Linked DNA regions of Drosophila melanogaster. The gene in region 2 interacts genetically with the main gene of each other region. Each region holds a gene or a part of one and is shown on either strand. Other genes may lie near its edges.

Region 1 (7,377 bases), on a different chromosome or scaffold from region 2:
CGTATATTTCGCTTGTTTATAGTTTGTCGGGCTGAAATCAAGGCAACTGAATCGACTGAATTCAATTTCGGCGACTGTCGGCCGGCTTACATGGCGTATGCGCAACTTGATTAATTTATTACTCGGCGCATGTCTCTGAGTGCGTATGTAATTGTAATTGACATTCAAGTCGATTACTTCCTTATTTGGTTTTAAGTCAATTTTAGTGACGCATAGTTCGCTTCACTCGGGTAAACCTTTTGGAGCGTGAAATAAACATATTATTTTATCACTCAATTAATAATAATACAAAATACAGAAAATCTTAAGCCGTTTGCAACATTTTACTAATCATAGCTTATTCATAAGCCCTGCAAATCCAGTAAGTTATTATAATTTTTAAAAGCAATCTGCTTATTTGCCATCGCAAGCACTGCGGCTTCCATTAAGCCCATTATAATTATACTACAATTACCATTCCATCGACAGACAACAATCTCCCATCGCAGCACATTTAATGCACTATCATCGCACTGAACGGCAAAATCGAGAAGACCTTGAACTTGAGACGATTGCAAAGTAACTCCGAGAGCATCAGCACTCGCTTTATTTCCATTATAATTTTCCATTACACTGCCCTTTCCCTTTTTTTTTCGTGGTATAAACCTGGGGATATTTTGTATCTGCTTTTTTTTTTCTTCTTTTTGCCGCTGACAGCTGGCAGTTGAGTTATGAATGCTTTTAGTGGAGGTTCGCCGAAACTGAGTCAGTCGAGCAGTTCCAAAATCGGCAATAACAGAAACAATGTCCAACCGAAAGTGACCGCCGCGTGGTTTGCATTCCTGATATGGGACACGTACGGTGTCCGTCGTTTTTTTTTGTGGTCTACTTCGTCGGCGATTCTGTGGCCCCAGGGACCAACGACCGTCCTCGGTCTGGGCGCGCCAAATCCGTAGGCATCGCGACACATCCGGATTTTGTGTCTGTTTTTTATATTTTCATTTAAGTCTTAAACGGTAGCCGCATTATGCGTAGCTCAGAAGTTATCTCCTCTTGTCGAGTGATTAATTTTAATTTTTTTTTTTCGCTTTTATTGCTGAATAATTTTTATTTACTGCTTGCAATCGATAAATTTTTGTTGTTCGAAAAAGGGCATTTCATGTTGGCCATTCCCGTGCGGCCTGCAGTCGTTGACCGCTTTGAACTGACCTTGCCGCGCGAATTTTCGTTAATTTCAACTTTGTGGTCACCGCTTTGCTGCACTGGTCCGGGATGCTGTTGTTTATGTTTTTCAGACTTTTCTGGTTTTTATCGCCCATCAAGGTGATAGGTTTGCATATAAATGACGCTAGAACAAAAGACTTTGGCGACGAACTCGTGGTGACTAAACATGTGTACGAATTCACTGTGAGAGCAGTCAAAAGAATTGGTTTGCCCCAAGATATTTATTTTAATGGGAATGAATCATTGGACTGCGTAGCGGAAGTTTATTCGTAGCTAGGGAATCGATTATGATGAAGTCCGTTTGCCAATAAGCAAAAAAAAAAAACTAAACACCAGTTTTAAAAACCTTTTTCGAAGCATTTTTAACATAAAGTAAATATTTCAGTAGTTTAGATACTTCCTTTATAAATTGCATGCTGTAAAAATAGTTATACGACTTTAGAAGTTTTTCAGCCAGCTTTAAGCACCACATTTTTTTCCAAACACAGAATAATACTTTTTTAAATCCAAAGACTAAGTACATCGGCTAAACTCTAGAGAGCCTTACGTATAATGAATTACTGATTTTACAGCAATATTTACATTTTTGTTTATGTATGTTTTTATGGCTAATTTTGCACATCATAAAAGATTCACTACTAAGGCAAAGACAACAAGATCTAGCATACTGCGGCTGAAAAGTGGCTTTGGCGTCGACCAGCCAAATTTGCAACTGTCGAGATTCACAAGTCGGATGGATTGACTGGACATAAACAGAGATCACGGAGGCTAACTTGGTGATTTGGCTTGGCGTTGGTGCGTGGCACGGTAGTCGCTAGTAAAAATTCAATTAGCAAATTAAATATTAATTACCAGACGGGTCTCTATGCTAATTGAATTAGCAATAGTAGCAGCTGGCAAATAACTAAATAAAGGAAAAAGTATTGGGGGTTTTTAAGTTGGAATGCTGCGAAGATGGAGTTTTTGAGGATTCGTTTTAATATTATCCAATATTTGGCACCTATTTTTTCTGACATAATTGTTTAAATTAAAGAATGTTGTATGAAAAGTGGAAATTGCAATTTAAAATTTGAAATTTTGATATTATAACGATTGCATTTTTGATTATACAATGCAATTACGTTTCATTAAGTTTTATTTTGGTTTAATAATAAATGTCTCATTTTAACATACTACCTTATAAATAAATCTTTTGTTTTTATGTCCAGTAATGCATTATACATTAATATTTTAAGTGGGCCTTAATTTATATCAACCAAATTAAAATGTCAGATGATAAAATTACGTTTGAGAGTTTTATTTTGTTTCCTTTTTTGTAACAATGCAAGTTCTAATATTTTCGGAGCACAGCTGTTTATACTAATATTATTTCTCCTCGTGACAGGTGCCAATGCTATTCTCGCCCGGCTGATTAAAGTATATAATTTGCCGCTCGGCTGTGAATTTAGTGTGAGGCCAGGCCCAAGATGAACCAGTTTGCGGTTGGAAAGTGTGGCAGCCTAGAGTCGGACAAGGTCCCTGATCAGGAATAGCCCTGGCGATATAGCCCAAGTTCCCTGTCGGATTTTTTGATATTTTTTATTTTAATAATTTTTTTTTTGATTTTCTGACTTTCCGACATGACTGCTTCATAAATTCACACTCACTTAAGCCTGCAATTAGCGGTCGAGCAAAAAGCTCCCATCGCTTTGGAGCTTTGGCGCTCTGTTGCTCTCTTTTGGGAAGGTTTTGTCTTTTGCTCACCGCTCTCGGCGTTCAGTTGATCGACGGCAAGCTCTCGAAACGGACGCAGATTTTTGTAAGTCGCCGCCGCGCCTGCGCATTTTAAATCAGTTGCAACAAAAAAACAACGAGAGGCAGCGAAGACGAAATCGAATTGTGTTTTTATTTGTTTGCTTTTGTTTTGTCTGTGTGTTATGCCATGCACAAAACCACCGTGTTCGTAAAAGTGGAGAAAAATCAAAAATCGAAAATTCAAGCCGAAATAAGTTTGCCAAAACAAAAAGAAACCGCAAAAGCCGCGTTATAATAACGCAAATAACGGTATTAAGTTTGAAGCTCATCTAGTTATTTATGCTTTGCTCCTCGTGGTTGTCTGCAAAAATAAAACAAAAAAGCTTAAAACAAACAACAGTGTCGAAAAACCTTAACAATTTGCGCGCACATAAAATATAATTAAAGCCAGCAAATTTTTGCCTTAAACATAAAAAAGTTAATCAACTTGGTTGCAATTAAATGTTGCAATTTATTTTTTTGCAACTAAAGTGCGAAATATTCAGTGCAATACAATAACAAAAATAAATAAGTTTCTCTGAAGCAATACAAATAAAAGTTTCTCTGTAGAAATATAAATAAAAAAATACCAAAATCCATATTATCAAAAATTCAATAAGATATGTAAATAAATAGTTTGGTATACTCAAGCAAAAATAGAATGCTGAACAATGGATAATAAATTATTTATTTTTTTGGGTAACAAACTGATTGCCGAGACTTAAAAGACACCGAGAACTAAAAATAAAATATGATAGATCAAACAAAAAAATTCCCAAACATCTAAAGAGGGAGTCCGCCATTCCTCAAACGTATGTGTGATGGGTGTATGTGTGGGTGGGAGCGGGAAAATTGTGTTGGTAATTTCTAATGCACATTTTCCCTTTAGTATTACCCAACACAATGTTTTATTACCCTTACAGGAGTAACAGGAGTAACTAAACCTTTGATATTTCGATATTTATTAAAACATGAAAAAGAAAATTGATTATAACAACTTCCAGCAATTTTAAACCTTTTTTTTGTATTTTCCGCGAAAGCGTACATAAAGAGCGTATTTTTTTTAATACCCCTTCCTTTTACTGTATTTTCCTGCCTGCCCTTTTAGTTGTCGTTGAATTTGTATGACGTGTGTGCATCAGGTTGATTTTTGTGATGCGTTTTGCCTATGTAATTTCCATGTCAGGCGTTGGGATTACTTCATCTCCCGTTTCATTTCCTATATGGCCAGATGATTCAAACCAAACTGACCAGCGCAAAAATGAAAACAAAAACTACTGCTACAAAAAAACTAAAAAAAAAAGTTGCACGAAAAAGCCGGTTGAAGGCAACTCTTACATATTTACACGCACCAGCGCTCATTGAACACACGCCGCCAGCAGCAACAACAAAGCTAGCACGGGAAAAAATTGTTTTAAACAGTTACTAATATTTTTATTAATATATTAGTAAGGATTATATTGATAAATAACAGTACTACAAAAAGTAATATCAAGATATTCATAATATTCATATATGACATAAATCATACAATTCCGAGTAATTATTTTCTCTCACTGCATTACAGCAACAGCAACAAAAGCAATATCAACAGGGCGACACAGAAACCTGTTGTTGTAGCTCTTGGTGCCTCTCTTGCTGTCTCTGTCTCGTCAAAAGACATTTGCAGAGTTTCCAGCTGCGTGTTGATTATGTCAATTTCATGTTTACTTCATTTCCTCAATCCACCGGCAAAGGTGTTAGAGAGAGGGGTATAGTGGGCGGAAAGGGGTGCGCCAGCAATTTCACTTTCGTTGGACTTGAAAATAAAAGCTGCAGTCTCTGTGGCAGTGTGAGCGAGTGCGAGAGAGAGAGAGAGAGAGAGATTATTGGAGCAAGATGGAAGGAGGTTGGAGCTTGGGAAAGAGAGCAAGTGAGAGTGAGAGTGCGCACAGCAAGTGTGCTGCATACGGTACTTGGATGCTGGTGCTGCTGATGCCTCACTTGCTTTGTGGGGCGTTGCTGCACCGTGGGTTATTGCTATTTAATGTTCTTGAGCATAAAATTGTGGATCGTGACTTTGGGCTCAGCAAATAATTCGTTTCACTAATCCGTATTGTTTCATATATAATATATTTTAAAAACCAGGTGACTAGTCACAATAACTAACTAACTGACTAGTTACAATAAAAGTTTTACCCAATTTTTTCAGATATTATGATGAAATCTTAAAAGAAGTGATACCAATTAGAATGGCTAAGCTCTGAGATATTTGAAGATTATTATTATTATTTTTGTTTATGAATTGTTATACTCTCAGTTTTCATATTTGCTTGAAAAGTTAGTTTGTTGATGTTTTAAGAACAATTATATGAATTTTGCAATGTTCATACGTCAATATAAGGATTATTATGTTACCATCCTTTTAATAACTGTACCACTGTGCGCCGGCGTCTTTTGTGTGCTACTCGTCGCATATTTTCCGTTTCGTTTTGTAACTGTAATGTCTGTTTTTCCCATTGTCCGATTGTTGCTGGTTGTCGCTTTTGTTTTGCGCTTATAACGTAATAACGTAATGTGCTCGAAGATTTCCACATGCGATGCGTCGCACCTTACGTTTTGGTGCCAAGTCCATCGCCGACGTCGACGTTCATTGTTTTTGCAGGCAATTGAGCCAATAAACTGACGCGAATCGTAGCGACTTACAAATTCCTGTCCGAAAAATATGCGAAGGTCAACCAGAGGGGCAGCACCAACAACCACAACGATATCGAATCCATAACAAAATAGTTGAGAACTCCCGCAAGTGGAGTTTCATACGAGTATGTTTGGTATTCGCACCTTCAAACATGATTTCACGGACTGTCAGCTTGGCAAAAATTCTAATTATAAATGAAACAATTTATTACCGGGTTTTTAAAATAAAATGCAATTTATGTGCAAAGTCTGGCGGCGGCGGCGGACTTGACTAGTTAAACCGGTTGACTGCCAGCAGCAGCAGCAGCAATGAAAAAAAATGGAAAAAGAACCATTGACTCAATGGGGGTGCAGTCAGCAACAGCAAATTGCAACTGCAAGGAAAACATTTTTCTTAAATATACGGAATTAATTAATAGAAGTTAAACAAAGGATAATTTCTTTAATAAATTCTAAACATTTATTTATTACGGCAGTGGTGAATTCGACAAAAAAAATTATAATTTAACCAAATGTATTTATTTGAAATCTATAAATTACATCTATATAATAAAACAAAAGCTTCGTTATATAACTCAGCAATAAATCTACTAAGTGCAATGTATAAAAAATCCTAATGAACATGTAGTTCAAAAATAACTCTAATAAATTTATCTCGAATAAATCAAACCGTTTAAAATCAAATAATTGAATACATGTTCACAGCTGTGAAAACAAGAATATTTTCGGCAAAATATTTCAACAAGCATAACCGATGTGTGTGTAAAATTTGTGCCTGTCTATATTATTTAATTCATTAATCATAAATGCAAATTTCTTGATTGTTTAGATACGTCTTAACGGCTAACTCGAAGCTATAAATTGGACATCAAAATTGGATTATACAAAAATAAAAAAAAATAACAAAGTGAACACGAAAAGTTAATAACAATTATTTTGTATGCCGGTTTCTTCTTGACAAGTTTGGTAAGTGAACTTTAAGACTTGATGAATGAGACTGAATGATAAAATAAATGTTAGATGACTTGTTGCCGCAATAAACGCCGGCTAATGAAGAAATAATGGTTTGCAAACAAATTTAAAAATAGGAACAATAGAATCATTGCGGAACTGGCCAACTTCATAGCCTTAAGCCAGCGATCTGAGTATAATTCTCTTTCTTATTCCTCGTGTTGGTTTACCCTCGAGCCACTCAACTTTCACAAGTCAGAACTCGTGCTGAGTGGGAAAACCCAGTTGAAGCATACTGAGGGCAAGCTTAATGTCTGTATAAGATACCTACATCCGCGTGCCTAAGCACGTAACACGTTGCGTATGCGCAATTTCCATACTCCTTCAATCAAGAGATGTGTGTTTGTGTGGGGGGTTAAGTATTAAATTCAGCAACACAGGTTATTATTTATCAAATATGAAGATGAAATACTGTGGGCCATTAAAGTCAAAAATATACACAGACTACAAATGGTACAGGTCATCAAATCATTATTTTATTAGTGAAAAAGTAGTAATACATTCTTGGGTATTTTTCCTTAGATTAATAATTTTGTATTTATTTATTCATTTACCAAGATAACATATACTGAATTATACGTAATACATGAGTTCCTCCCTCGATTGCCATTAGCATATGTTTTTCATTTTTGCCAGGGTATTTATAAAATCGCTACGACCGTGCAGCCATTGTGTTAAATCCATTCAATTTTATCGACACTTAATTATAACTTT
Region 2 (7,698 bases):
CCAGCATGCCCTGCGGTTTTGGCCATAGACACCCCTCCCCCTTCCCACCTCATCGACTCCCTTCCATCGATTATTTGTCATTTGGCTTGCGTGTTAATTGATAGCACTGAGAGCCATGGCAACGCAACTTCGTGTTTTTCATTTATATTTATTTATTTGGGCTGGCTGCACTTTGTGGGTCACACGGAAATCACTTGCATTAGTCATCGGCAGCACGTTGGAACTTTACTTTACACGTAAAGATGATTGTCATTGCGGCATTTACGCCAGCAAGCCCCTTCTGATAGCACTACATATACAAAAATATACACAAAGTACACAGTAATGTATTAAGAATGCAATTAAAAGATTTCATAAATAATTCCACAGTGACTCAGCTGTCGATTCGATAAACAGGAATCGCTAGTGTTTTACTAACAAACATTGTAATGACGGTGGTCTATAGATCCCCAAACAGAAATCGATCGGTAATTTGTAAGCGCAGGGAATTGCCAATATCGTAAAAAAATATATTATTACATTTTGGAAGTTTCCTTTGTATTGGTGGTGAATAACGATTGATTATAACTGTGACCTATTGTGAGTCATTGCCACCCCTATATCTTATTCACTTTTTTTTTTTACAGATATGTGAAATAATTTTAAATAACTGTTTCATTAGAAACACTTGTCTCCAAATGTTGCATTGGAAATATATTGACCGATAATGTATATTCAAATCAAATGATTTTTAGCATTAGTATAGGCCTGAGATTATGATTGAACTAAAAATTATTTTTAGTTTTTCATCTATAATAATTCATTACTATATGGAAGATACTGAAGCCCATCACGATGTGATCACACCTTTGTCAGGTGGAAAAGCGGTATACATGTACATATGTACATGCATACATACATATGTAAGTATGTATAAGTTGAGGGTTACCCCACTCAAAGCCGAGATTTAGTACGATGCCCAACGTGAGTAACTGAGTAATATGCAAAAGTTTGACATTGAAAATTTCTCTGTATGACAATCGTTGTTGTTGCTACCTTTGTTATTATTGTTTTGCATATGTTTTGCTGCTTTCGCATACTTTTCATACACATGTATGTACATATACGTACACCACATTTCGTAACGTGCAAAAATACGAGTTAAATGTGCGAGCAAGAGAGCGCTACAGAGCGAGCGATTTATCTCACAGCACGTGCCAAAGCAAAAACAAAACTGTTTGTTTTTAATGTTAAAGCAGAGCTCACAAGTGCGAGAAAGAGATGGGGCGAAATGACGGAAAGATTGTATGACAATCTGAGACAATTTATCGCCATGTTGTACTATCAGAACGGTCAGTTTGTAGAGGGGGTGCTGAACTTGGACCAAGTAGGAAATGAAATGCAATGGTAAGCACAAGCAGCACTATTCATACATATGTACATGCAAATATGCAACAGTAGAACAATCGAGCGATTTCCCGATCGGCTGGCGATATGGTGCCCCTTGAGTTCCGTTCTTGATCGCAATGCTTTGTAACTTCCTAACTAGCACAGTTATTGTGATCAGCTTTAGATTGCAATCTATGCAATCTACTATGAGTGATTAGTGTTTGATTATTTGATTATTTTATCATATCTCTAACAGTTTTCAAGATGCAATGCTCTACGTTTGCATGTGGAAATATTAGGTTTTTAACTTCTTGCATACCAAAATACATGACGATTCACGACTTTTCACATAATTGCCAAAAATTTCTAACCGACTCACAGAGAGTATTGTTTGAAACCCGTCTTCGGGTCGCATACCTTTGCGCTGGGTTCCCCATTTAGCCGACTTTCACTTACCGTAGACCGCCGGACTGGAGCAGCTGCGGGTTAGCGCCGGCGTCCGTCCGCCGCCGTTCATTGCCGTTGATGATGACGTCGTCGATGTCACTTCGTCACATGCCAGATTCTCCCTGGACCGCTTGTTGGGATAGTCCTTCTGATTGGCTGCCGAGGGAAGGAGACGAAGACCAGAAAATACGCATTAATGCGGTGATTTAAAAACTGATTTTAATTGGCGGTTAGCGATTTGCTTAATTTTATAACCCATGATGTCAGCACGGACCGTGTATGGACCGCAGTGCGAAAAACTTGTCGCGCCAGGTTCCCCGTTCAAAAAAACCGCAAAAATATTTCGTTTCGATTGCCGCCTGCCAAAACTGACGTAAGACATTTATTTCGGCTCTAGAGTTTTTTTTTCTTCTTTTTCGCCTGATTACGAGCGAATGCAAAGCCAAAGTTTTCCACATTCGCTCGCAGCTCACAAGTCGCTTATCACAGTGAGCAGGCATAATTAGAGAACGCTTTGTAAGCTAGCCCGATACCAATTTGATAGTATATTATAGTAAAACACAATCCAGATTATTCATTTATAGGTAAGTCTGAACAAAAGCTGTCAATAACAAATAGTTGAAAACTTTTTTAGTACGGCAATCTTGGGTTTTTAATGCTGGTATATTTATGTTCTTAGCATCATTCTGATTTCTTCGAATATTATTAAAATTAATCTTGTAGTAAATATTTGTTTTTAAAAACTTCAAGTACGATTTTCCCCCTACACTAAACTTTAATTTTAAGCCATGTTCCTTGATTGAAGGGTATCATTTCAGCCGTCCGTCAAAAGAAAAAACTTGATAAGATAACCAATGCTACAGTTTGTATTATGTTTTCAAAGTGGTCTTAGGAGTTCGGACTGTGCTGACTTGATCAAATCGACTTTATCAGCCTTGCCAGAAAGTATAGTCTCTTTTATGCTGAAAAGCAAAACAACTTCGAGCAAACTACTGGGGTACAAAATTGCTGTTATCAGCCAAGCGACCTCAAAAGCCAAAAAACAACACAGAAAAAAGCAACAGCCTCAAAAAAAGTACAACCAACTTTTCACCGCGGCAGGAAACGTTGGTTATGTTTTTTTTTTGTCGCTGTTGTTGTTGTTTGCGGCTAGTAAAACAAGTAAAATCGCATGCCAATAGTGCATTGCAAACCTCCAGGGGCGTCTGGGTCTGGAGTGTGTGGGTTTCGAAGGGGGCCTATGGTGTGGGAAACGGGGGGAGTGGTGTGAAGTAGAGTAGAAAATAGGAAAGTGCTAATTAGTATACAGTGGCTTGTTTACTTTTGGAAATGAGCTATGCATCAGCTTTCTGTTCACTATTTTGTCCAACTTTTGGGTTGCGATTCGCCATTATGTTTACTGTTATTAGTAATTCGCTGTTTATTGTCTAAAAAAAACTTGGCAACAAGGTAGTAAATCTTTCACTTTAAGATGATATTAATTTTAAGTGATTTATAAAGCGATTGTAATGCTTCAACTTATATTATATTTAATAAATTTCAACTATTCTGTAAATGTTTTGGAACTTTGACTCAACGAGGGCACCCCTTTTTAGTTTCGCCCCTGGCCCTTGCAACTAACCCTTCCTGCTCTTCCGCTCTTTCTTACCGACTCCCAACTTCAGTTTTGAGTTGTTGCCGCGGCTGTTGCTTTTTCTCCTTCTGCTCCCCTTTTGGCCTCCTCCTTCGCACGCTTCTCCCTTCTTCTGTTGTTGTTGTGCCGATGAATTCGTACTCGAAAGGTCGTTTCAAAGCGGGTTTTTCAGCGTTGCCAGGCCGCTTGAGAAACCTGCTTTGCTTTACATTTTTTCTGTTGTTTTATTTTTTTTATTTGTACTCGTATTTTGTTGGACTGACTGATTTTTTTTTTCATTTATCCAGCCAACAGAAACGAATCGAAACGCTTCTTTTGCTTTTATTTTTGAAAGACACGCGAATTGTGAGTCACGTATGGAGCGAAAAAAAGTAACTGACTCTGAGTCTGATCTCTCTCGAGTTCGTTTCTTTTTGCTTGTTTTTGCTTTTGTAGAAATGAAATGGAGACGCTTACGTGTGCTCCCCCTCTCTTTCGCGCCCCAGCAAAAGTAAACAGCATGCCGAGCGGTAAAAATCAAGAGAGCAAGAGAGAGGGATTAATACGTTCTCCCTGTCCCGCTCTTTTGATTGGTTTGAGTGTAATCTTAAATTGTACGATTTTTCTTATTGCTTATTTCTGTTGATTTGATTCTTTTTTTCGCTTCTTTTTGTACTTACCACCAATGCGATTGTTGTTGTTGGTATTTTGGATTGGCATAAATAACAGAAGACACGGCGCTTCTCGCTTTATCCGCATTTTCATTTCACTTTGTATATGACTCACGCTGTCGCCGTCTCCGTCGCACTCACAGCGTCCGTTGTGGCTGTTGTTGTTGCGTGCTGTTGACGTTGCCGTTGTAGTGTTGTTGCTATTATTGTTGCTGCTGCTCTGCGTTTCTCGATTCACACACATATGCACGCGCTCACACTACACACATACACATGGGGGCCTTTGGTTGTTTTAAAATTGATATATGTATATTTTATTTGTTGCTTTCTGCCCGTATAATAATCTATATTATTTAAGTATGATTTTCGGTAGGAGGGCTTTATTAGATAATCCCCGAGCCACTTGTTGAGCCACTTCCCGTTATAAAGTGTGTTGCAACCAAAAGTCGGGGGCCCAGAAATCGAGTTTTATTTCCACTTGTAGCACGCACACTTATTTTTAATTCATTAATCGAAAAACGCGCGGGTTGTAGATCTCGTTTTTATATTTTATTTTAGTATTAATTGTTTGCTTCCTCTTCTCACGATTCGTGTTAAAATTATTGTATCCAATGATAAATGTTTTTACCAGAAATATTCTAGTTTTAATTTCCTACTGTTTTCGCGCGGAGCTTAGTTATTTTTCGAACTCGTTGTGCAAAGATGTAGACACAACCGTTCGAAGCGGTATTCAAAAGGCGAATGAATGACCGAATGAATGAGCGCAAGACGAATGAACGGGCGCAAAACAAATTTGATAACCGAATTTGATAAAGACGCGATTAGTGTGACCAGAGGCTACTACAGTTAAAAAAGGCTAACAAGCTGAAACTTTACTCTACGCTCACCAAATTCACCAACACTGAAGACTTTGCGGTTGAATTTGAAATTAAAGTATATATAATAGCCACAATTGTTGACAAATGAAGTTAAAATAAGCTATTACATACTTTGACCTATGATCATAATACAATTTTTATTTATTTATTTTTTATTTATTACACGTTAAAGGTTAATTATTTTCGAAACATGCTGACATTTGACTTTGTATAATTGCTTTTGACATGCTGTATATATACTAATTTTCTTTTATCTCGGGCTCAAACCTTTTGTTAGTTTATATTGATGAATTCCATTTATTCATTATAATTTTTATGAATATAGCAATGCTCGTTATAAACCTCTTTAAATTCTTCGTTGTCAAAACATTTTATTTGTCACTACAGAGATGCGCTCATGTCTACCCAAGTGCCTCAGCAAACCAATCCCAACCAAACCCGTCAAACCCCACCTGAATCTCCGCAACCCAGTAACATGGAACAAATGTTTGCTCGCTTCGAAGGAATGGTCGAAAGGATGATGGAGAAGATGTTCTCGCAAATGACGCAGCTTGTTGCTTCCATCCTCAACGCAAAAGTATGCAAAGCCTAAAAATAGTTATTTGGAATGCTAACGGCCTGCAGAGGAGCAGAGCCGAGGTGGAACACCTCCTAAAAACAGATGCCATCGATGTACTACTGGTATCAGAAACCCACTTTTGTCCCAGATCCCATTTTAGCATTAGCGGCTACGATGTCATCCCTGCCAACCATCCATCTGGCAGAGCGCGCGGAGGAGCAGCCATGCTCATCAGGAGTGGCATCCAGTACACGGAGCTACCTGCGTTTCAGGAGGAATGGGCCCAGTGTGCCCTGGCCAGAATCTCCAGCCTACATGGAGACATCACCGTTGGAGCGGTCTACTTCCCACCTAGACACTCGATCACCGAGACTCACCTACAAGATTTTTTTGAGTCCTTTGGACCTCGCTTTATAGCAGCTGGTGACTTCAACGCCAAACACTCCTGGTGGGGGTCCCGCTCCATCAACCCCAAAGGCAGAACGCTCCACAGATTCCTGCAGAGCAGAAGACTGGATTGCCACTCCTCTGGTGAGCCTACCCACTGGCCTTCAAACCCTTCCTTGCTGCCCGACCTCCTGGATTTTGCTATCTCCAAAGGCATAGGGCAAGACAGACTAACTTGCTCCAACTATAACAAGCTGATATCCGACCACAGCGCTATAAAAATGCTTCTCAACATCCCCGTCCTCAAAAAAGAGTTGCCCAGAAGACTCACCGGGAAGCACACTGATGCCTCCAAGTTCACACTCTGGATGCTGTCCTCCCTGCACCCGGATCCTCCACTCTCCACTCCAAGCAACATCGATGCGGCAATCAAAACTCTCACGGATGAGATGTACAATGCTGCTGAGTTTGCCAATCCTCCTCCTTCAACGTCCCCAAGAACTCCCGGTAGAGACCTTCACCTCTGGTCTCCAGAAATTGCGGCCTTCGTAGCGGAAAAAAGGCGCCTCAGGAGAATCTGGTTCTTCTCGCGCAACCCAAGGGACAAGGCAGCACTCAACAGAGCCATCAAGGAACTCAAGGACAAGCTGTGTACCCTACGGCAAGACTCCTTCGACAGATTCCTTGAGGAGCTGGAACCTGGTGACCCGCAACATAATCTGTGGCAAGTCACGCGTCATATCAGGAGGCCTGCAAAGAAGGCGTCGCCGGTGCGCAAAGCGGACGGCTCTTGGTGCCGCTCTGAAGCCGAAAGAGCTGAAGCGTTTGCAGATCACCTCCAGAATGCATTCTCACCATTTGACAGATGCACTGGCGAAGAGCGTGCTGCAACCACCAGGTTCCTAGAGAGTCCATGTCCTCCTAGCCTGCCCATAGAGCCCGTCACCCCAGAAGAGGTTGCGCAAGAGATCGCCTCCCTAAAGGCTAGCAAATCCCCAGGACTGGATCGCATCGACGCCACATCCCTTAAAATGCTGCCACCTCCCTGTTCCCAGTTGTTGGCCAACATATACAACAGATGCTTCTCACTAGGGTACTTCCCGAGATCATGGAAACGTGCAGAAGTCATTCTCATCCTCAAACCTGGAAAACCTGAAGCCAATCTTGCCTCATATAGACCGATTAGTCTGCTGACAATCCTCTCCAAAATACTCGAAAGAGTATTTCTGCGCAGAGTCATGCCAGTACTGGACGAGGCTTGACTGATCCCTGATCACCAGTTTGGCTTCAGGCGATCCCACGGAACACCCGAGCAATGCCACCGGCTCGTAGCACGCATCCTAGATGCATTCGAGAACAAACGATACTGTTCGGCCGTATTCCTGGATGTCAAGCAGGCGTTCGACAGAGTGTGGCATCCTGGACTCCTCTACAAACTCAAGTCCCACCTTCCCAGTTCCCACTATGCCCTACTCAAATCGTATACTGAAGGAAGAGAGTTCCAAGTGCGATGCGGTTCCTCAACAAGCACGACAAGGCCTATACGAGCCGGAGTACCTCAAGGCAGCGTCCTTGGTCCCATCCTCTACACCCTGTTTACAGCAGACCTCCCTATCATACCCTCCCGTTACCTCACAGCAGCCACCTATGCAGATGACACGGCGTTCCTTGCCACCGCAACAAACCCTCAATTAGCATCAGCCATCATCCAGAGGCAACTGGATGCACTGGATCCATGGCTGAAACGCTGGAACATCATGATCAACGCTGATAAAT
Region 3 (6,152 bases), on a different chromosome or scaffold from region 2:
GGCGATAAACAAGACAACTTGGGGAGATTAATTTTACTCAAGCACCTGACAACATGGATCGCAATAATGGGTAATGTATTTGGATATACAGTGCACGCACCCAAAATCGTTACTTTCGCTCGAATTTAACCTGTGTGCGTCAAGCGACAAAAGACTGTGTTTACACACATACGCATGTATGTATGTATGTGCGATCTTCCAAACGATTAACCGTTACTGCTATTTTGTTATATATAAAACTGCGAATTAAATATTAAAAATATTGGGGAAGAAGCATTTCTAACCTAATTACTTTGATTAGCAGGTTATTAACCAGCATATATAGATGCCATAGGATCTTAATAATTCAGGAATTTCAAAAGACAGTTTTTGAAGTTCATATTAAAGTGTAAATTGGTTAATTTGGAAAACTCATTTGCTAAACTGTATTTAAAATAATGCTTAAAGTAGGTCATGGTCATAAAAAGTTTTTTTTTTTTAATATCAGCACAACAAATACAGTGCAGCTTTCAATCAAGGAGTTTGCTTCGCTTTCATAAAGTTAATGATAAGAACTAAATATATTATTATTTACGCTTTAGACGCTATCCCTACAACATTAGGCGGCAGAACAGCGGGCACAATGCGCCGCACAGCTACCATCACCACCATAACAACAATTCGGCGGCGGGGGCGTCCAATTCGCCGGGATACAATAACCACAGTGCCGGAAACTCTCCGTCCGTCGGTGGCCATAACAACAGCAATCCGCTCTACGCCTCCGCCGCCGGACAGCAGCAGCAACAACAGCAACCACAGAGCCTGCCAATCTCGCAGCACGATGAGCTCATCCGGTACATCCGGGGGGCATGGATCAAGGTGAGCAGCTTACTTGGATCCAAAAGGCCGCTCCTTTGTCACCCTGCTTCGCTTTTCGCACGCGGACATCAGGGACCGTGAACACTTGCTCGTTATTCAGACTTTGCAGTCCAATCTTTTCTTTAGAAGAATAGGAAACGATAGTGGATAATTCCAATTTCGATCAGCAGGATCATTCTATGCATTTTAGGCATCAAGATCTAGTTTAGAAATAGCCAACCTCGAGTCCAACAAGTTACCTTTAGGTATCTTTCTAAAATATTCAAGAGCATTTTGATGGTGAAAACCATTGAGATTCGCGGTCCCCGGTCCAAATTGTCGGTTGCTCTTCATGCTTTGCTCTCTCTCCAGGTCTACGAACAGGGTCCACCTGTGCTGTACTGCAACGAATCCGACAATCAGCTGAAGAACTTTAAGCCATTCGATTTGGAGGAGTACTGGGGCCAGCGCCTGGTGCAGAACATCCATGTGACCACCACGCAGGCCGGTGGACACCAGTAGAAGCGGGAATCTGAACAGCGGACAACGGCATGTGCTCCATGTGGTAACGATTAATTAAATTATACATTTAAAAAGGGTGCCAGCTTCCTCCCGATTATTGACTAATTTCCATGCTATTGGAATTTACAATTTATGTTTGTTTGCTAACTGCTTTGGACTATTGTGTGTGTAAAAAAAAAAAAAACGATTTAAATCCACTGCCAGCTGAAAGGCAAACCATGATTCAATAAAGTGTACATTGGCAAACGATTTTTATCCCTGGCACCCTGAATCTAGCTTGCTATCTGCATTTAAGTGTTGTGCACTAAGCGCGCTTAAAATTTGACCAGAACAACAATAAACAATCTAGAGCGTAGACAAATTAACAAGAATCCTGTGTTTTCATTTCAAATAATGGGCCTACAAAAGCAAACTGTCTAAATTTTAAATTTAAATATTGCTATACATCGAATTATTAACGATTAGCAAACCAAAAAATTATACTGAACGTGGGGTTAATCTTAGCAAAGGGCAAGACTTTCTGGAGTACCGCAGAATTCTTTAAAGTAAAAATGTAACATTAAAATGAAAGAAAATTACTAAATTTAAAGTTGTTATGAAACTATTGGTACATTTAACTAAACGTTCCTTAAAAAAGTCCTCTCTCTCTTCACTGATATTTTCCAATTTAAGTCGCAATGACTAAATCAGCGAATCGAAGCGAAAACACTGCGTTTTTGTACTGAACGGCATTTCGTGGGTTTATAAAAGTAACTTTTATTTCTCTCACTGTTTACATCGAACCGCTGCAGTTGTCGTTTCAGCACATAAATCAAAAGGAGTCCTTAGACCATCTTGCGCAGCAGACGGTTGATCTGGTCCTCGCGGTTGCCGAAGTCACCACCGTTGACATAATGGTTGGCCTTCTTGCGCCAGCCGCCGGTGGGGGTGTTTAGCTTGAAGGGCCACAGGAAGTTGGAGGCGTACTTGAAGTTGGGCCCCACGGTGAAGATCTCATGGACAAGATCCTCGACGCACTGAATTTGGTGCGCCTGACGCAGCTTCCGCTCGATCACGAAGTTATCGGTGATGGGCACGCGCTGGCGGTTATGCTTCACGAATCCACGCTTGTAGATCAGCTCCCGCACGGACTTCAGATTGGGATAGCCCCAGGTGATGTAGGGCTCGGCGATGCGCAGCATGTTGATGGTGGCCTTGTTCAGCTTGATGAACACACCGTTGTTGATCTGCCTCAGACGGAACAGCTGCAGAACCTTGCGGACCTTGGGAGCCACCTTGTTGATACTGTTGGCGGTTAATGGGATTGGGCATGAATTGGTGTGACTTGTGCATGGAGGAGCATTAGAGGACTTACCCGCGGATACGGACGACAAAGGCCAATTTGGCCTCGGCGGGCACGTAGAACTGGTTGCGCTTCTTGGCCAAGCGACGCAGCTTGATCTCGCGCTGTTCCGCCTTGATGTACTCATTCTGGTACTTCTCGGCGCGGACCAGGTTCTCCTTCTTGCGCAGGGCAATCACGGCGGCCTTCTTCAGGCGACGTTTCGACTCGGCGACTCGCTTGGAGATTTGTTTCTTGCTGAACTTCAGCTTCGATTCCGGCACGGCGGGCAGCTTTTTCGCTGCTGGCTTCTTGACGACCGGAGCAGGCATCTGTGGGCGGCACAAAACAATGGCATTTGAGCGGTTTCCTTTCACTTTGGATGGTATTTTTATTGAAAATATCGCACTAACCTTTTACTAGTCACTGCACACGCTGGTAAAAGAAAGGGAAAGAAAGACCGGAAACGTGCTATACGCCAACTTCGGGCTGTCAAATCGGTACAACCCTGCTTTCAGTGCTGCGAAATGCGTGCACACGTGACACGCGCGCCATCGGCCAAACGGTCACACTGGCCGCGGAGTGGGCTATCGAAGAAGTGCCACCACTAGCAGAGCAACAGCAAATTGCGCGGATTTTTTTTTTTAGCAAAAAAGTTGTGTTTTTCAACTATTTCCGATTGCTAATTACTAGGTAAGTTGGTTAAACATGTTAATAGTGTATTTAAGCCGCCCTTAGTTCATGAATTCATTGTGCGAGCTGTCTTCATGGGCTGTGTTAAGTAATACTACTTATTTTATAATCTTTTATATATATGTGGAGATGAGTCGTATCTTACATTTACTTCATTTCACTTAATTTACCTAATTAATTTTGAATACCGTATACTTTTTAGATCACTATCAATCACCAACAGCGCTATAAAATTGGAACCTTGCCTTATTGACGACACTGACCTACCATATCTAGTTAAAAAAAAAGATTAAAAACAAACAAAATAACCACATATACAAATAAACCGAAATGAACTCCACTCAAAGCCCGGTTTATCGCACCTCCGTGGAGCAAAAGCGGCATGCTCAAGAAGTGGCCAAAAGACAGCGGATGGGCAACCAAATGCCAAGACTTCGCGAAATGCTGCGAGAGGTAAAGACATCAGTGTACCCCTTAAAGTACCAATATACTTACACATAAATACCCTGTAGAAATACCGCAAGCGCATCATAGAAACGCGCAATAGATGCACGGATGCCCAACGAGAAATCCAATTGGTAGGACATACAAATCTCCATAGTAAGCCCATCATAAACCACCCATTTTTTCAGTCCGAACTCAGGGAAATCCTGCGCCTGGAACTCAGTGAGCTAGAGAAGGATGTGGAGCTTGAGGAGCTGATTCTGGAGGAGCTACTATCCGATGTCAACGAGTGGTATGCCCTGGGCGAAAAGAATCTGGAAACGCTATACGCAGAGCCCGATGAGCAGCAAAAGGAGGTTTTATGCCCAGTTTGTCAGATTAAAAACCTACGCCATCACAAAGGTGCCTTCATCTGCGAGTGTGGCATCCGCTTCGAGCACTCTGCGAACATGGAACAGCTGCAGATACTGCTGCAACAACAAATCGCCAGCCATGAACTTCAGTGCACTCAGGCCCTGCGATTTTTCATCGAACCCGCTTCGGGACAACTATACGACATGTGCGGCAGCTGCGACTACTTCTCCTCCGTCTAGGTCGTTTATGGAGCTGGTTTCTACCGCTGACTGCTGATAGCTAGTTTAAAGGAGTTTATTAGTTATAATAAGATAAGTTACATAAGTTAAACTTCAGACAGTCTTATCAGTTTGGAAAACCAGAGATCTGCACAGAAGATTTTTTAGATCCGAAGGCTTTATATGCGTATTAAATTTTTGAAACAGTGATACATGATATTCCCCCCCTAATTAATCTAAATCCAAAGAATGATATGAGTTATGGCTAGAAATGAGATCTTTAAGCATATTGTTATAATTGCACAACAAATTAAAATTAAAATCTTAGGAATAACAGATTTATAAAATGTATTCTAGGCTCTTACAAAATTCAAACTAAACCATTCTTCTAATGTGGCATTCTAGATTAAGAAAATAAATCAGGTGCGAGACTAAGTTTGATTTATGAATATAAAACGTTTTTCTCTGCTTATTGTAAAGTTTAACAAACTATTTATTAATTGCTTATAACTTCTGGTTCGCTTCGAGTTGATTTAGTGCATCATATATGGGTCGATGGTATCAGTGGGCTGGCACCCCACGATTCCGGCGATGTGGGAAGAGCTTTTTCCCATCGCGCACGTGCGCGATCCCCCAGATTCAGATTCAGATTCAGATCAGTGCAATATCTTCTCGAGTTCGGGCTGACTGGCACTTCGTCGTTTTTCCTGCTGGCGAGAATGTATGTGCTCAGTGTGGTTAGTGAGCCGCCACGCTCGGTCGGAGTCGGTTGGCCTTTTCTTCTCGCGAAGATTTCTTAATCGCGGCCGAACGTGCGCCACACATATCTCTGCGTTGTGTGTTGTTTATACAAAAATTACTTAAAAAGAATAATAATAATAATTGAATGGCAACCGGGGACGCGGCGCGCTCTTCTCGCTTTGGAACGAAATCCATTGTGGTACCATCCATATGTACATACATATATATATATGTACATATATCGAATTGGATCGGGCATAACACACATTGCACTGCATATTCCCGATTGCGAAATAGTTTGTTTATATTGAGCGATTCTGTATTTGCTGCTCAACCTGTTGGGCGCAAAGTTTTCAAAGTGCTGCCTATGGACTCGATTTAATAGTGAGCGAAATACAAATGATTTTAAATTGAAATCGGAAAAGTGAAAACTTCTTGCAGTGTTCAATAAGCGTTTTGGCCATAAGTTCATGGTTTTATTGGCCATCATGAAGCAGTTGTTCAATATAATACACTGTGATCACTTGAATGGGCATGTTCGCTCCATTTATGACAATTTGAATACAGATATCTGTGGCATTGACCGTGTGCGGCGTGTTTTTACGTTTTTCAGCATTTTTCTGCTACTTTTCGGATTGATGTTTGTTTGCAGTAGATACAAAAAGTGAGTTTTATTCATTTGCGGGATTTAAATATATGATATGTGTATATTTGCAACTTGGGCGGCCAGAGTTGAATTGACACACTTTCAAGTTTAAACTAAAATAATAGTGAATTTCGCTCTGTTTTTTTATTTGTTTATTTTCGACCCAAGTGTAAACATGTACTTCTTTTGTTTACAGCAGAGCAAGCGATTTTTTGCTTGAAATTGTGCAAAGCTCTTAAACGAAAATAAGGTCACATGTAATGGATTTCAAATGATTATCATCAGAAGTTTGATGTCCAGTTTACTCCTTGCTCAATTAGGTCCAAAATAAGAGTGTAAATAAATTCAACAAATGTATACGTATATTTTTGAGAAG

The links. Genes that interact genetically often act in the same process or in processes that back each other up.
Region 1: of puc (region 2) and mol, changing one suppresses a phenotype caused by changing the other (phenotypic suppression), as found in Drosophila melanogaster (one study listed by BioGRID).
Region 3: of puc (region 2) and RpL7, changing one suppresses a phenotype caused by changing the other (phenotypic suppression), as found in Drosophila melanogaster (one study listed by BioGRID).

Annotation. Positions count from the first base shown.
Region 1 is NT_033779.5:14,993,140-15,000,516, reverse strand, and holds the start of mol (moladietz), read left to right. Parts: upstream 1-2,957; 5' UTR 2,958-3,001; exon of another isoform or gene 3,002-3,803; intron 3,804-6,481; 5' UTR 6,482-6,618; intron 6,619-7,377.
Region 2 is NT_033777.3:8,102,505-8,110,202, reverse strand, and holds the start of puc (puckered), read right to left. Parts: upstream 4,872-7,698; 5' UTR 4,343-4,871; coding exon 4,108-4,342; intron 3,716-4,107; exon of another isoform or gene 3,464-3,715; intron 1,972-3,463; coding exon 1,825-1,971; intron 1-1,824.
Region 3 is NT_033779.5:10,198,090-10,204,241, reverse strand, and holds RpL7 (ribosomal protein L7), read right to left. Parts: upstream 3,239-6,152; 5' UTR 3,094-3,238; intron 3,013-3,093; coding exon 2,714-3,012; intron 2,644-2,713; coding exon 2,184-2,643; 3' UTR 1,921-2,183; downstream 1-1,920. Other genes in the region: CG34159 (uncharacterized protein), read left to right, coding at 54-70, 582-858, 1,210-1,359; Ripalpha (RPA-interacting protein alpha), read left to right, coding at 3,704-3,826, 3,886-3,951, 4,006-4,410; Sur (sulfonylurea receptor), read left to right, coding at 5,619-5,794. UniProt on the Drosophila melanogaster protein: Binds to G-rich structures in 28S rRNA and in mRNAs. Plays a regulatory role in the translation apparatus; inhibits cell-free translation of mRNAs.